Linked DNA regions of Neurospora crassa OR74A. The protein of the gene in region 2 interacts with the protein of the main gene of each other region in a pairwise test. Links are inferred from orthologs where the notes say so. Each region holds a gene or a part of one and is shown on either strand. Other genes may lie near its edges. The genes, in order: NCU00919, NCU04610 and NCU08956.

The links.
Region 1: the proteins of NCU04610 (region 2) and NCU00919 interact in binary tests that used the Saccharomyces cerevisiae proteins (3 or more experiments, as listed by UniProt). The link is inferred for Neurospora crassa OR74A from reciprocal best matches to the Saccharomyces cerevisiae genes OSH3 and ROK1.
Region 3: the proteins of NCU04610 (region 2) and NCU08956 interact in a protein complementation assay, tested with the Saccharomyces cerevisiae proteins (2 studies listed by BioGRID). The link is inferred for Neurospora crassa OR74A from reciprocal best matches to the Saccharomyces cerevisiae genes OSH3 and SCS2.

What each region holds. Positions count from the first base shown.
Region 1 is NC_026501.1:6,733,910-6,739,228, reverse strand, and holds NCU00919 (ATP-dependent RNA helicase rok-1), read right to left. Parts: upstream 3,588-5,319; 5' UTR 3,379-3,587; coding exon 1,033-3,378; 3' UTR 756-1,032; downstream 1-755. Other genes in the region: NCU00918 (hypothetical protein), read left to right, coding at 1-694; NCU00920 (isoleucyl-tRNA synthetase), read right to left, coding at 3,868-5,319. UniProt on the Saccharomyces cerevisiae protein: ATP-dependent RNA helicase involved in 40S ribosomal subunit biogenesis. Required for the processing and cleavage of 35S pre-rRNA at sites A0, A1, and A2, leading to mature 18S rRNA.
Region 2 is NC_026505.1:1,510,466-1,515,738, reverse strand, and holds the start of NCU04610 (oxysterol binding protein), read right to left. Parts: upstream 3,522-5,273; 5' UTR 3,181-3,521; coding exon 3,145-3,180; intron 3,056-3,144; coding exon 2,979-3,055; intron 2,906-2,978; coding exon 58-2,905; 3' UTR 1-57. Other genes in the region: NCU04611 (transcription elongation factor spt-6), read right to left, coding at 4,662-4,921, 4,989-5,273. UniProt on the Saccharomyces cerevisiae protein: Lipid transport protein (LTP) involved in non-vesicular transfer of lipids between membranes.
Region 3 is NC_026505.1:5,807,768-5,813,077, reverse strand, and holds NCU08956 (MSP domain-containing protein), read right to left. Parts: upstream 3,499-5,310; 5' UTR 3,033-3,498; coding exon 2,993-3,032; intron 2,917-2,992; coding exon 2,846-2,916; intron 2,769-2,845; coding exon 2,746-2,768; intron 2,655-2,745; coding exon 2,596-2,654; intron 2,532-2,595; coding exon 2,416-2,531; intron 2,352-2,415; coding exon 2,226-2,351; intron 2,152-2,225; coding exon 1,747-2,151; 3' UTR 1,196-1,746; downstream 1-1,195. Other genes in the region: NCU08955 (UBX domain-containing protein, variant), read left to right, coding at 4,466-4,550, 4,608-4,818, 4,875-5,025, 5,082-5,310. UniProt on the Saccharomyces cerevisiae protein: Acts as an endoplasmic reticulum (ER) membrane anchor for cytoplasmic proteins via binding to the FFAT motif of targeted proteins. Regulates phospholipid biosynthesis by modulating the subcellular localization of the transcriptional repressor OPI1.

The DNA.
Region 1 (5,319 bases), on a different chromosome or scaffold from region 2:
CAAGCTCGACTGGGTCACCCAAGGCGTATGGAGGGGAAAGACGGAGAAGGTGGCGGGTGATGCATGCATTATCAGTTACCCGCCGTTGTATTGTGTCAAGTATGACTCGCCCTTGATCCCTTCGGTTGCCGCCGCCCAGAGGAAGACGACAAAGTCTATTTACTACGAGGTATCAATCCCTCCTCCTCGTTCGGCGGCGGCAGCATCATCTAATAATAACCCCTTTCTGGGCGGCCGCGGTGGAGGAGGAGGAGGAGGAGGAGGAGGAGGAGGTAACGACGACGAAATCACCCTAGCGCTAGGCTTCACAGCCCTTCCCTACCCGGCCTTCCGCATGCCAGGCTGGCACCGCGGGTCGCTGGCCGTGCATGGCGATGATGGGCACAAGTACGTCAACGATCGGTGGGGAGGCAAGGATTTTACGAGACCGTTCAGAAGGGGGGAGACGTACGGTATCGGCATGACGTTTACTAACACCGGCGGAAGGCTGGATGTGAATGTCTTTTTCACGAGGGAAGGGAGGATCACGGAGCAGTGGGATTTGCATGAGGAAGGTGATGCGGAGCAGGACTTGCCCGTCACGGGCTTGGAGGGGTTTCATGATTTGAGTTGTGCTATCGGAACGTATTCGGCTGTCGAATTCGAGGCTGTCTTTGAGCCGAGTAGGTGGAAGTTCAGGCCGCAGGGCTTGTGAGTGGCTCTGGGGAAAGTTTGACCTGAGAGATGCGAGTTGGAGAGAGAGAGAATGGGCACTGCGGTGATATGATGTTATGATATTTTGAAGGGTCAGGGTTTTCTTCTACTCCGTCGCTGTCTGTGTTTGTTTTCCCCTCATGCTGGTATCACTCGGAATCAAGATACGCGACACTCATTCCTAGGACAAGTTGAACAAAATGTAAACTCACAGAAAATCATTCTTTTGTCTAAGTACCAGCATATACACGGTAGGGGTATCTATCCTTTTAATAATCCGCCCGTCAACACAATGACAATATTATCTGCATGAACGCCCCAACGGCTACGCCCAGCTTTTTAATCCAAGCCGGTCCACTCCTCTTCCGCCTTCTCAGGGGCAGCACCGCCCTCCTTCTGCGCCTTCTGCGCCTCCCTCTTTCTCCTCTTGCTAGCCTCAATAGCCTCCCGCCTGTTATTCTCCCTCCGCCTCTCCCAACTGCTCTTAGTCGTGATCGTCGCCTTTCCGCCTGTCCGCCTGCTCTCCACCCCCCTGACCTTCAACTTCCTCTTATCCTCCTTGGCCACCTTGGGCAGCGCATCCAGCAGCCACTTTTGCACGCTACCCTGGGCGGCCTTGACGGTATCTTTCTCGTCGATGTCCTTGCCCGCCTGCTTCTCGCTCATGGCGATCACGTTGGCGACCGACTTGACAAAGGGGATATCGTCCTTGGTGTAAAAGGTGACGGCCACACCGCCCTCGCGACCGGCGCGACCCGTGCGTCCGGCACGGTGCACGTACGCCGCGGCGGACACGGGCACGTCGTAATTGACGACGCCGTTGACGCCAGCAAAGTCGACGCCGCGCGCGAGCACGTCCGTGGTGATCAGCACCCACACCTCGCCGCTGCGGAAGCGGGCCATGATCTTGGACCGGACCGAGTCAGGGAGCGACGAGTGCAGGACCGCCACGCGGGCCGAGCCGCCCGCCTCGAGCGGGATGTCGTACTTGAGCTCGTCGTGGAGCGCCTGGGCACGCTCGATAGTCTGGGTGAAGACGAGGAAGGGCGGGCGCAGCGGCGGGCCCGAGTCGGCCGAGGACACGGGGTGGAGAAGCTGGCGCAGGGCGAGCAGCTTGCCGGGCTCTGTGGCCGTGTAGATGAGCTTGTGCGTGATGTTGGGCACGGCGGTGTCTTTGAGACCAACGACGAGGCGGATCAGGGGCTTGGGAGTCTGTTCGGGGGTGCGCTTGGCGCGCTTGTCGATGTGTTTGGTGAGGAGAGCTTCGATGTTGGAGGCCATGGTGGCCGACCAGCACGTCATGCCGAGGTTGGGGTGGGTGCAGGCACGCCAGATACCCATGGTTTGCTTGCGGAAGATGGGATCAAGGAGAACATCGGCCTCGTCAAGGATGAGGGATTGCACGGTGGGGAGCGTCTTCTTGATGATCCTGGGCTTGCCCTTCTCCTTTTCGCCTCCGCAGAGGAAGTTGAGGAGAATCTTGGGGGTTGTCACAAGAATGTCTACCCTGGTGATCGGCCTCTCCTTCTTGAACTTCTGATCACCTTTGGCCCTGCTCTCCGTTTTCTTCTCGGCGTCAGAATCGCTTTCCTCTTCTTCCTCTTCTTCTTCATCGATTTTCATAACCTCCTCGGGCTCGCTCTCTGCTTCGCTGTCGCTATCACTGTCTTGAACCTCTTCCTTGGCTTCCTGCTCCGTCTCCTCCTGCTCATTTGATTCTGCCACCAACCGCAGGGTCCTCTTCATGAGAACCACGCGCACGCCGGTTCCGATAGCCAACTTCCTTCCTTCATTGACAATTTGACTTGCCAGCTCTCTCGTAGGCGCAACCACGATGGCCTGCAGAACATGCTCGTCTGTTTCAGGGGTGTAATCCTCGGCCCTCCTTTTGATGATGGCATCGATAGCGGGAATCAAGAAGCTGATAGTCTTGCCACTGCCTGTCGGCGCAACACCGAGGAAGTCGATTCCCTTTTCAACCTTGACGTCTTCCACATCTGTGGCCTTCTCCAACGCCATCTCTGGCCGCAGCTGCAGTGGCAAGCTGCCCATCTGCACCTCAGTCGGCACCCGGAATCCCTGCCGCGTGATGTTGTCCGCCAACACGGGGTGAATGCCGTAAGTGTACTTGAGCTCGCCAAACGAGTTGAGCGGCTGCGGGTAGATTTGCTTTTTGTCTTCGTCTTTCTTCTTTTTCTTCTTTTCCTCCTCTTCCTGCTTCTTCCTGTCCTCCTTCTGCTTCTTCTGCTTCTTGGGCGGCTTCTCCTCCGTAGCCGCTTCGTCTTGTGGCACGCGACCGGCTAGGACTGTGAACTTTAACCGATGGGATTTGAGTATCTGTCGGCATTCGTTTTCTTCCAAAAGCTTGGGCTTTTGCTTCTTGGGCTCGTCCGCCTTCAACTCGGCATCCTTCTTGGCGGCAAGCTCCTCGGGGGTGGGCTTGGGCGCAAAGTAGTCGACGTCGCTGGCATCGTCGTCTTCGTCTCCGCTCTCGGTCGCATTGTTGGCCTGAGCCCCCTTCCTCTTTCTCTTCTTGCCTCTTTTGGCGTTGGCGCCGCCGACATTGTCGTGGAAGAATTGGGGATTGACTTTTGCTCCGGCGGAGGGAAGGAGCTGCGGTGCGCCTGGCTGGTTTTTCTTGGGCTGGGCTTTGATGCCTCGCGAGAGGACTTTGAAGATATCCATGCTGGAAGATTTGCCTTCGTAGGATGTGATGTCGCGGGGCTGAGTTAGATAATTGACAGAGAATACGAGCTGTACAAAGCTTTGTGATGGGTGAAATCAGGTAAATCTGGAGATGGGAGACAGAATGAACTGCTGGACTTTTACAAAACAAAAGAATTCTTGGAGTTTCCTTCCAATCGCCAGAATTGATCCATGAAAATTTTCCGCCCCGCAGCGGGCGCCAGTGCTTATCTTAGCGGCCTGGGTGGGGCTCCGCACCGCTGTACCCCAACTTTGGGCCGTCGAGGTTCCTTTTCACTGTGCGTTTACAACGCAGCTTGGGATGCAAAGGGAATGCTCCCCTAGGCTGAACAATGTGAACAGGATTGCCCGCGTTGGAGATGTGAAGAACAGGATATGTCATGAAGGGGGGAGGGGTATCCATTTTGTGTACGGGCTCGTCTACTCTAGTCTATCTTATCTGTCCTTGGTCGAACCTTTTAGTTTCTTTCATTGTACACCCTCGCCAACAACATCCTCGCACCGGACGCACAAGGAGTCCTCAGCAGGAGCAACGAATCGCCAGCACCTGGGGCATTTATGGTCTTTGGGAGGCAGAACCCACGCCTGGCAACCATGACCACCCATCTCGAAGTCTTGGACGTACTTCCAGGCAGGCTCCCCCTCTATGGCACCGCCGAGGTCTACAGAGGATACAACAAACATGGTATCTAGCTCGTCCTTGTACTTTTGCAGGACGGAAAGTGCCTTGCTGTCCTTGGGAGCCTTGATAACAACAGAGCAACCAAGGGACGAGCCAAGAACCTTGCCCCTGCGTGCCAGCTCGGACGCGGCTTTGATGGCGGCGTGAGTTTCCATTAGGACCGGGATGTCCTTACGAAGCACGCCTTCATCGTAGCTCAGACGGCTGGAATCAATCAAGGGCGAGTTATAGAGCTGATGAAGAGGATGAAGAATGGATGGGTCTTCCTTCATCCAAGCAGGTCGATGCTCCCAAGCCTCCTCGACCAGGACAGGTGTGATAGGGGCCAGCATTCTGAGGAAGCCCATAAAGATAGGCTCTAGGACACCACCGCCATCGGCGCAGTACAGCCTGTCCTTCAGGGCTTCGAGGTAAAAGGCAGACAGATCGTTGGCGATCCATCTGTTGAGACTGCTGAAAGCCTTGTTGAACTCGTAGTTTTGATAGTGTCTCTCAATTTCCACCATAGCATCCTTCAGCTGGACAAGAGCAATGTGGTCCAAGGCAGTCAGTGGAGCTGCTCTGGCTGACTGTTCCATCGAGCCCGTCAGCATCTTGATGATGGTGCGATACTTGGTTAGGGACTGATGGATAGTCTTCAGCACAGGCTCGCCGAGGACAATGTCACTGGTGTAATCACTGCTCGCTACCCACAAGCGCAAGGCGTCGGGGCCAAGGGCATCCTTCGGGGGAGGCGCATTCGGATCCCTGTCCTTGTTCCTGACCTTCAGCGGAGGAAGCAAAGAACCATCCATGACCTGGTCCGCCGAAATGATGTTGCCTAGTGACTTGGACATCTTCTTGCCGGCTTTATCTAGCGTGAAGCCATGAGTGATGAGTGTCTTGAATGGTGACAGGCCAACAGCATTGGTCGTACCATTAGCTGTCGGGCTTTGAACCGCCATAGCTGCTACTCGAGTGAGCAAACTCGACTGAAACCAACCGCGATGTTGATCAGAGCCTTCGAGATAGACATCCGCTTGCCTATCCGTCTGGGTCCAGCTGCTACCACTGTCAAACCAGACGTCCATGGTATCTCTACCACGGGTGAAGGGGCCCTTGCCCCGAAGAGATGCGGGAATCCAGACAGGGTCATGAGGGTCATCAGACCACCAAGCATCGGTACCTCTCTCCTGAATGACGGAGATAATGTGCTCGATGGTCTTTTCAGTCATTACTGCATCGCCATTGGCATCGTA
Region 2 (5,273 bases):
TCCATATCACTCACTCACTCACTCACTCACTCACTCACTCTCACCAAATCTCCCAGATTACCCCGAAAAGATATCCAGCACCCCCGTCCACTGCCCGCCACTCTTCGCCCTTTCCTCCCAATACCCCTCCTTCCCGCCCTTCAATTTCCACACCTCCTCGCCGTCCTGGCCCGTAGCCACCTTGACGAACCATTTCGGCTTATACTCCTCTCCTCTCTCTTCCATCTGCTTTCTACGCACTCTCTGCGCCTCCTCCAACTTGACCTTCCACTCCTCAGCAGAGTCCAGATCTCCTTGCTCGTGGAACCGCTGATCGGGACGCAACCTGCTATCCGTAGGCGGCAACTTGTCCTTCTCCAGGGGTGTGATTTCATTCAGCGACGCGGCAAAGGTCGTAAAGCCATACGTATTCGCCGCGTTGGGAACGAGGCTGCCCGCCTTCCAGATCTCCTTGCCTCCAGGGGCAGTCTTGAGACTGCTCGTCCAATTGCCCGTGAGCGCCTGGCCCGTGTTGGACCCGTCGGGACCAAACGTCTCGACGTGGACCTCTTCGCCTCGGCCACCGAACATGCCCTTAGCCGATCGAAACTCGACGACAGCCTTGGCGCCCGAAGTCTCGTTGTTAACGTTCATGTTGCCGACGGGCTCGACGTACTTCTCGCCGTAGACAACGTTGCGGAGGAAGACGGTGGCTATGTGCCAGCTGTAGAGCTCGTCGGTGCCGTCGGGGAGATGCAGGCTGACCCGCACACGGCCCTCGGTAGTGATTTCGGCACTCTTACCCCAGAACTTCTGCGAAGGAGCCGGCGACTGGGAGAAAGACCACAGAGCACTGTCGGCTTGTACGGCGAGGCGGACAGGGCGATGGCAGATTTTCTCGACCAGCACTCTAAACCCGCCAGGCACTTCGTTCTCGGACCGCACCAGTTCGAACGTCTCACCCAACAGAGGGTTGAAGGGCTTGCGCGTAGCACGCTCCTTGGCGCGACCGTTGCTGAACTGGGAGACAGCAAAGGCCGTAACATACAGAAGACGCTCGTTCGCGTCAGTCTTCTTGGCAGCCTCCGTGAGAAGCTGGCCGTATTCAAGCTGCTCCGCCATACGCTGGCACAGTGACAAAGGCTCGTTCGCAGAAACGGGCATACTGATCGTACTAAGATCTTTACCCACGTTTTTGCGGACGAACGCGATGAGACTGGGAGGAGGCACTTTGGCGGCCGGAATCGTCGTGCGTCTGGTGACCGTGTCCGTGATAGGCAGTGGCGCAAGAGACTTGGGCTTAACGGGGAACAGACTGTCATGGTTTTCTGTACCGACGCCTTCAAACTCCTCCTCTTCCTCGACAGAAGAGACGGATGAGGAGTCGTGGATATCGACCTCCTCCGCATCTGAGCCGGCCATGTCCTCTTCGCTCTGACGAATGATCATAACCTGGTTCTGTCCCGCGCCGCCCTGCTCACCAGCCTCGGCATCAAAGAACTCATCAATGGTAGACGCTGTAGACTCGTAACTCTTTCTGGAAGCCGCAGGCATCATGTTAGGCGGCATCATTTGCGAAGGGATTCTTCGGCGCTTATTCTTAGACAGCAGCTGCGAAAACTCAACCACCACAGAATCCAAATCATTCAGAAGAGCCGCGCAGTTATCGTATGGGTTCCGCTCCTCCGCAACGGCCGTCGCACTGGCTGGCGATGGCACCGCCAGAGCAGCTCCAGCCGTTGCCTGAACGCCTGGTTGCGCGCCCGGCGAAGCATTGCTGGTCTTGCGCTTCCAAAACGGCCTGCGCGACTCCGTCGAGGGAGTGAAGTAGGTCTCAGAGTCCTCCGCAATCGCTGGCGTGTTGGGTGAGAGCAACGAGGCCTGGCTAGCACCAGGCGCCTGTTTCTCGGCAGCCATATCCTTGACCAGGCGCCTGAGAGCATCTCTGGTTCCTGCAACCCTGCTGACCAAGGATTCGACCTGCGCCCATTCTCTTTCGTCCTCCTGCTGTGCGCTGGGAACGCTGGTGGAGGGCCGCGAAGCCGGCCTGTCAACACCAAGGGATGCGCCGTTGGGGAGGGTCTCCAGACCGCGAGCAATACGACTGGCCTTTTCCAAGGCCTTGGCCCAGTCGTTGAAGTCCTTTGGGCCAGACGCCTTCAAGTGCCAGATCTCGGCACCAGAATCAATGGTAATTTCGCGCCGTCTTTCGTCAGCGGCAATGGCGGCCAAGCTCAGGGGGATCGCTCCTCGCAGGGCAGACGAGTTGCGGTTGTGGTAGTAGGATAGCGTGCAAGTCGTAAAGTCGAGGGAGAAGAAGCGCCTAGCAAAACCTTGGCCCTTCTTGCGACGTCTCTTGAGAAGCACACCGACGTGGTAGGTTGCGCCCGGCACAAATCCGCCCTCACTTCTCGCATTCGAGGCAGCACGGCCACGCCCGGCCGTCTCATTGCTGGGTAGACTATCGACCGAGTCGGAATTGGCGGCGCCCAGCCGGGGAGTAGTACCTGCTCCCAAGCTCGTTCTGCTGGCGTTGGAGCCGGCCCCCGCTTGTACGGTAGGCAGATGGTGGGCAGTCTGGGGCGGGGCGCCGGTGGGGTAGGTAAGCAGAACAAACGTGGCCGTCTTGGACGTCTGCTTGGAGAAGGTGTTGTCGAAGACGAGACCGTACATGCCAGCACTGGTAACGTCGTAGGTGCCCACTGTAACCTTGTCGGCCTCGCATTTGCCGTGCCACTGGATTGGGATAAAGCCCTTCTTGGCAAGCTGATCTTGCGCTGTGCTGGCATCTCTCCTGAACAGGCCTGATTTCGCATCCGACACAGCGGCCTCGGTGGCTGGGTGTTCGGGGGTGGCCGTGGCCTCGAAGGTCTGGGAGCCGGCAGCTGTACCGCCAGATCCTGGGTGCTTGACGATGGCGAAGTTGCTGTAGTCGTGTTGGTCGCAACGTCAGCCAATGTCTATGAAGAGAGAGTTATGGGATTCGTAGGTATCCGTACATGGACTTCTTGTGTGGTTGAAGGCTCCATGATATCGTATGGCCTTCATCAACCTTGACCCATCGCACGATGTAAGACTAAGGGGGTAAAGAGCGGTTCGTCGGTCAGCAACTCCCGTTGACGAAGTCCATGAAAGCTTGGCTTGAACAGGTCAGGGCGCGTATACCTTGCTGTGAATCTCGAGCTGCTCGATGCCCGCCATGGTGAAAGACGATGATCGGGAGCTTGGGTGTCGTGCTATATATGACAGTAAGGGTGACTGGATGGATGGATGAATGAATGAATGAATGAAGGAATGCGGTAACCGAGGTCTGATCGTGGGGCCTGTCCGCCTCTTCAACAACAGCAGCAGCAGCAGCTACTCTGTCCGCGTTAACACAGAGTCGGAGACAAAGCTTCCGTGATCAATGGATGGGCTGGTGATGGAGGCGACCCATTAGAGGTAGTCAAAGCTCCAATACGGTCGGATGTTATGGTATAAGACTAGGGGTCTTGTTGATGTTGTCGACGACGTGAGTGCAATCGAAAGGAGGGAAAAAGCCGGGCGGTGGTGAACGGGGACCACTACAGCAATTAAACTGGCAACATCCGATGGAACAGGGCGGCGCAGAACGGTCACAGGCACCGATCAACCCACCGTAGCACCCAATGGCCAGCCGACAGGGGCGTTCCCGTCAATTCCACTTGTGTTCCCGTCAGACCGCCTGCCCGCCTGGCATTCCAGGGGGAAACAAAACAATGGAAACCTAAGGACCTACCCAACGCCAATTCAATCCCCACCGAACGGAGCTTCCATCCGTCCCGACATTCGGGCCCGGTCAGCGGACAATTGGTTAACCTCCGATCGCCCGCTTTCCTTCTTACTTACAGTACTGTGTTCACTACTTACTCCCTTCCTTTCCCCATGTCTCACCTCATTCAGTTGAAACAATAATACCCCGATCCAACCCACGTTTACATATGTATGTATCACACCGAGAGCCATCGCATGGCGTCGATGAATGGCATGGTCACCCCGACGACCTGCCATGCTACTGCCTAGCTGGAGGTTGCCTAGCGCTCAGCCTTATAGTACACCTTACATGATTCCGCGGGCTTCATTGGTCAGAAGGTCGTCGGCAACCTCGGCATGTGTGTTGTCATCCAGGATGTCGGTCTTTCAACTAGAATGGCATTTGCCGGTTTCTAGAATAGAACTTTATTAAACGGTTCGGTGTCTTGTTGGGACTTAACACCGAATCCGTCCAGTCGTGCCCCTTTTTCTTGGCGATGACAGTCTTGTTCATCTGTCCAACAAAGTGTCGCAAATGTTTGTCAATGAGCTGTAAACGAGCACCGGCACATCAAGTTGGATCATTGACCGTATTGTCCGATTAAATGCCATATGAACCTTTTTTGTAATTCTTCATTACTGCTCTTCAAGTCAAGTGCCTCTCCCCATTCCACCGTTGACTATCTTATATCGGCTTTTTGCAAGGTCTCATGATCCACGACCCAATCTGATGTGAATACCTAAAGTCTATCCCACCATAAATAAATGCGCTGCCTCTTCAAAGCCCCAGCGTCCACTGCGGTCCAATTCCCAAAAGACAGAGAAACAACGAAACCCGAAACCCTATAGCCAATCAAGCAAACACCCATCGGAACCCCACTGCGTCTGCAATGCCAGGACCTGTTCAAGTACTATCTGCCTCCTGACTGCTGCTTCAACATCTCACTCTGGTACCGAAGCTTGAAGCCGTTACAGAGGGCCCTAACATCTGGGTACTGGCTCTTCATAAGCTCAAACGCATGAGGGATGACGCGCACAGGCCAGGCATTGACTCGCGAGTTTCGGCTGGCCTTGAAGCAGAGGAAAAAGTAACCGGGGTGCTTGGTGTCGATGCAGAAGGCGTATGTCGACCGGTTGGGGTTGGCGTCCATGTACGTGGTGAGCCATTTCTCTGTTGGTCTTGGTTAGCATCATCTTGCATCATCATGAATAGCATCAGGGTAGGCGGCTGAACTTACCAGTCTCATTACGGGAGCCCTTCTGGAACTTGTCGCACTGCATGAGCTCGTCCACCTTCTTGGCCATGGCCTTGACGTGGTCCACGATCAACTCGTCCAGATCCTGGTACGTGTACTTGCCCACGCGGAGGACACGCCCGACAGCAAACTCGTTCTCCTTTTGTAGTTCCAGCACGTCGACATGCTGGAACACACCATCCGCTACCTTCCAGGTCACGGCAAGGTGATCGTTACCTTTACTAGAAGGGCGGATTACAACCTCGCCAGACGGCTGACTGCCAAGAT
Region 3 (5,310 bases), about 4.3 Mb from region 2:
CAGATCACTGGAAACGAAAGCCCAAAAGTGACGAAACGGAGGGGACTTGGCGAAACTTCCAGAGTTGAAAAGCTCCGAAAGACTGAACGGGTTCAAACGAACGGCCTTTAAAATCCCCGAAGCCGCTGGCATGAACCTCACCCAGCAATGCAAAAAATGGGGAAAAGCTCAGTTGTACGTTGACATTCTCAGTCTATACACTACCTGTTGTCTTTGTCGACCGCAGCACAAGCACAAAGAGAGAGAAGGACCTGAATGATGTGCAAAGTCAACGTTTCCTATTACCTGATCGTGGAAGAAATATCCGCGAATGAAGTTATAAGCTCTAGAATTTCTGACAATTGGTCCTCTCTCTTTATTCACAATACGGTTGCCCCTCCCGATGTCATGAAACAACCTTGATGAGAACAGTTGTTTTTAGCTAACCACAAGCCTCGTTTGCTCATCAAGGTACCTACCTCGAAGAACCGCCCAAAATACCTACTAGCTACCAACCCATCAGTTAAGTCGCCCTTTCCTTTTTCCCTTCTTCTTTCCATGTCATTTACATATCGTACACAGAAACTACAAATATACCAGCTATCTCAAAGTGGCACTCATCATCAAAAGTATCTGCTTCATCAAGGGAACAGAGCTGAAAAGAGATGAAACCTTAACTCCAAGCTACAAGGCTGATACTGTGTGCGGTCGGTCCCTGACGGCTGATCCCGCCACTACTAGTGTAGATTCCTCGATACAAACCCATTGTCCCAACTACGACATCTTCTTTACTGCAGTACCTATTCTCTACTAGGTGATGACGAAATGTGCCTGACTGATTGACTGACTTCCCGTCTCCCCTCGTAATCTAATCATTGGGTGGCGCTGTAAGGCGCTGGTGTCGGGCTCTTTGTCTGGAGGTCGTTAGGTATCAACCATACATTGATGATGACTGACAATAGGTTTGTGTAACTATAAGCGGAAACTGGCTGAAGTGATTGTGAAGAAAAGAGGCAATAGACTAGCTGACCATGTAGAGGCAAATACACTCAGATTAGAGAATAAACCGAAGATTTGACTAGATAGCTTTCTGAACCTCTGTCATAGCTGAATGAAATAATAACAAGTGGATGAAAGGATCTGGATAGATGAGGACTGTATTCAGAGAATTCCGGATACCGATAAACATGTCTGCACTCATTCACTGGCCTACGAACGTGGATATCCTTGCATATTATCAGGTATTGGTATTTCCATCCTACAGTCCTACAGTCCTACTGGCCTCCTAGCATAGCATAGCATAGCCTAGCCTAGCCTAACATAGCATAGCATAGCATAGCCCGCTCGTTGTACCCGGAGCAATTTGCAGAACCGGTTGTAATGAACACACAACAAAGAGATCCGCATCAGCTCGTCCACCTCACCTCACCTCACCTCACCTCCTCCCCTACGAGCAAGACAAAACCGAACCCCGAACCACGCGTGTTTGTTTCTCTTGTCTTCTTCCTCTTCCTGCGCTGCCTACTTCAGATCCCTAGAATACACCCCTGGGCCTGCCACTCTATCCACCACCCCCCAACGACAAAGGGAATAAAGACAAAGTTTTTAGTAGTGAGTGAAACGATATATGAAAACCGAGAAACGAAAAAAGAAAAAGACAGGAAAGGATTACGTTGTTGTATTGTGTGTGAAACCCTGGGCGTACTGGAGGAGCAGCAGCCTTCGCGATGACAAGAAAAAAATGGAACCGGGTGTTTCGTTGCAGCACTAGAAGAAGATATAGGCCAGCAGGAAGCTGACCAAGCAGAGGACCGCCGCAATCTGGACTGGCACGCCCTCGGTGCCTTGCCTCGCTGATTGCGCGAGGTCCTGAGCGGTCGCCTGTACGTTCGACGCCTGCTCGCCCACCGCGTCAGCCACAGCCGCCTTCCTCTGTCTCAGACCGCTGGCGGCGTCGTTCTGGAGAGATGCGATGGTCGCCTGAGCCTTGGCCAACTGTTCCTTCAACTGCTCGTACGTCTCGGAAGCGGTATGCTGTGCTGTCGATGCGACGGCCGCAACAGTCGACTGGAAGTTCTCGCCGACGTCGGACTCTTGTTTAATATCGCGGGTGTCGACCGTCGAAGATCGGGTCTCGCTGGGCGATGTGAAAGGAGCAGGGGTCTCCTCGGCCTGCGCATGTGAAAGTTAATTTTATTTCCTTGATGGTACGCTGCCAGGGGTATGTAGGCGAAAGGTACACGTACCCGGCTCGACGTCGAGGGACGGATAGGGGTGGCAGCCACGGGGGAGGTGGTCTCCTCTCCAAAGGGTGGCAGCCAGAGAACGCGGATCTTCTTCTCCTGAACCTGGGACTTGTCGACACCATCCCACTGTATGATGTATTTGTCAGCACTCATTTTCATTTTCGTCCTCCTCTGTTTGAGTTATACGCACAATCTGGGCAACGTTGGTGAACTCCTTGTCACCGGTGATGGCAACAGACTGGACGAGGAACTTGTCGCGGCATCGGGCGTCCGAGGGGGGCTCCTGCTTCATGGCCTGGAGGAGGACTGAAAGGGAAGTTAGTCACGAGACCGTAAGTTTGGACATGGTGTCGGCGATTCGAGGACTGACCGGAAACTTCGACATCGTGACCGGGCTCAATGCGACCCGAGTTGGGGCGGACGCAGTATCTGAAGAGGGAGTTGGTAAGTGTCTGTATATCCTTGGACCGGTGATTCGTTTGCGCTGCGGCGCATTGCCGAGGAAGGGACGTAGACGTACTGCTTGGGAGCGGTGGTTTTGACCTGTACGAGAGCATGTTAACACATATGTCGAGTGACACTCAACCACGACAATAACGCGTGTTGATGTCCACACATACCTTGAAGGCAACCGGAGAGGTATTGGGATTCCTGATCCTGAGGATCTGCGAAACTTCCACAGTAAAGGGCCCTAATTTCTGGTCAGACGATGGGAGATCCTAGAGGGAATCTGGGCCGATGGTGCTGTTTGCGAAGGGACGACGTACTGCGGAAACCCAGCTCGAGGGGATCGATTTCGACGGACATGTTGGCGATCGGTTGGGCTCTACGTGGTTTGGTGGTTTTGGGAAAATCTAGAGCGACTTGGATTTCGCGATGGGATGACGGGAAATGTTGCCGGGGGATTATTGGCCGTCCCTAGTATACCCGGTGGGGGGGAAATAAAGGGATGGGGGATGGAGTTTGACGTATTAGACAGGTTCGCGAAATATGCCAGACAAGGGCAATGTGAATCTGATTTATCGGGCCAGACAGCGAGACCGCGGAGAGTTCAGTAGTCGTCGTCACAAGAAAATGTTAGGTAGCAGCCCGAAGTGAAAAATGGATAGATGTTGTGAGGTGTGGTAAAATACAAGAAGAAGAAGAAGCTGGAACCTGGAGTGATAATATTACGAAGACGAGAGAGAGGGAGATGATGTGTTACGACATTCAACAGTGACGGCGGTCCGACGCGCGCTGGACAGACCAACCTGGACACAACTAAGCCAGCAGTACTTAGTGTACCTACCTACCTACCTAGCCTAGGTAGGTGTTTCCAGGAGGGCGCCAGCCAGGCGACGAGACTGCAAAAATGCCCGGATTCAAGCCAAGACCCAACCGAGCCAAGAGCACCTCAGAGGTACCTAGGTATCTGGGTCCGTGCTGATCTCATACCTGACTGGACCCCAACCCCAGAGGAATGAACCTTTCAGTGAGAATCTCAAAAGCTCCCAGCTCTTTCCCGACCCGAATGCTATGTCCACCCGCTGCCTGGCCGGGCGAGCCTGCCGTTGGATACCTCTAGGTAGACGAGGAGACGAGGCCCGTATGGTAGGTTGTCGCGTGGGGTCCACGTATCTCCACTGAAATTAAGGGTCACAGTCGGAGAAACAGGTGATGCCGACTGTCATTTGGCTACAAATTGGGCAATTGTCAGTTTGTCACTGGCCATTTCCAGCTGCCGGCAACGCTGGCACCACTGTCAAAGCAACCCAGGGCACCCAACGGACAAGGGTGTTGTGTTGTTTGTGAATGACGTGCCCCGGGCAGCCTGGCCATATCGCGAAGCGTTCACTTTATCGATGATGACGACGGCGACGACAATAACAATAACAACAACAACATTCACGTGGGCAGTCTGAATTTCTGTTGGAAACGTAAGACGATATTCCAAAGTTGGGTTCCAAAAGAAGGCCAAAGTGTTCGTCTGTTGAAACCTGGCAGCGTTTTAGTGCAGGGAATCGCTACTACGTACCCGTCCGTCTGCTTCTATCCGAACTGTTGACAGCTTCGCATCTTTTGATTGAACCCCTCCTTATGGTAGTGGACTTGACTGCACCAATTCCGAGTTGCCACTATTTCATCCCCAGCAACAACCTACTATAACAATCAAGACCAGTCCCGTCCACTCCATTTAAACACCTAATCTATAGTAGCGACCATATCTTTCTCATCAACCAACCAAATCAAGAATCATCAAAATGGGCCAAACAGATCTCGAGGTTCTGATCGACATGGGTTTCGAGCGCGCCCGCGCCGAGCTCGCCGTCAAGAAGTCCGGTGGCTGTCAGTCCTCCCGAACGCTTACATTTGTGACGCGAATGTGATATTGACAACTAGCAGTGCAAGGAGCCCTCACCTGGCTTGAGGAGAACCAGGACAAGTCCTTGGAGGAGCTACAGGCCAGCGCTGCCTCTGCCGCCACTGCCAAGGCCGACGACGACGAAGAGGATGATGGCTCCCCCATTCCCGAGGGCGCCAAGTCCCTTGTTTGCAACGATTGCGGCAAGAGGTTCAAGAACGGAGATCTTGCCGCCTTCCATGCTTCCAAGACGTCAGTCTCTTTACCAATGTATCCGTGTTTGTGGCACCAAGCTAACTCTACCATAGTCAGCACACCGACTTCTCCGAATCTACCGAAGAAATTGCTCCTCTAACGGAGGAAGAGAAGAAGCAAAGGCTGGAGGAGCTCCGCCAAAAGCTCGCGGAGAAGCGGGAGAGGCAGGCACTTGTTGACAAGGAGGAGCAGAAGCGCAATGAGGTACGATGTCAGAATGTCCCCAGCCGCATTCCAAGCATGCTAACAAATATGTATAGCAAATCAAGCGCAAGGCTACCAAGGAATCACAAGACATGAAGGAGGAGCTGGCGCGTAAAGAGCAAATGAAGGAGGCTGCCCGCAAGCGTCAAGAGAAGCTCGACGACATCGAGGCCAAGAAACGCATCAAGGCCAAGATCGAAGCCGACAAGGCCGAGAGGAGGCGCAAGGAGGAGGAAGCAAAGGCGCTTCGCGAGGGTAGAGCTCCGGCCGCTCCCTCAACCGCGC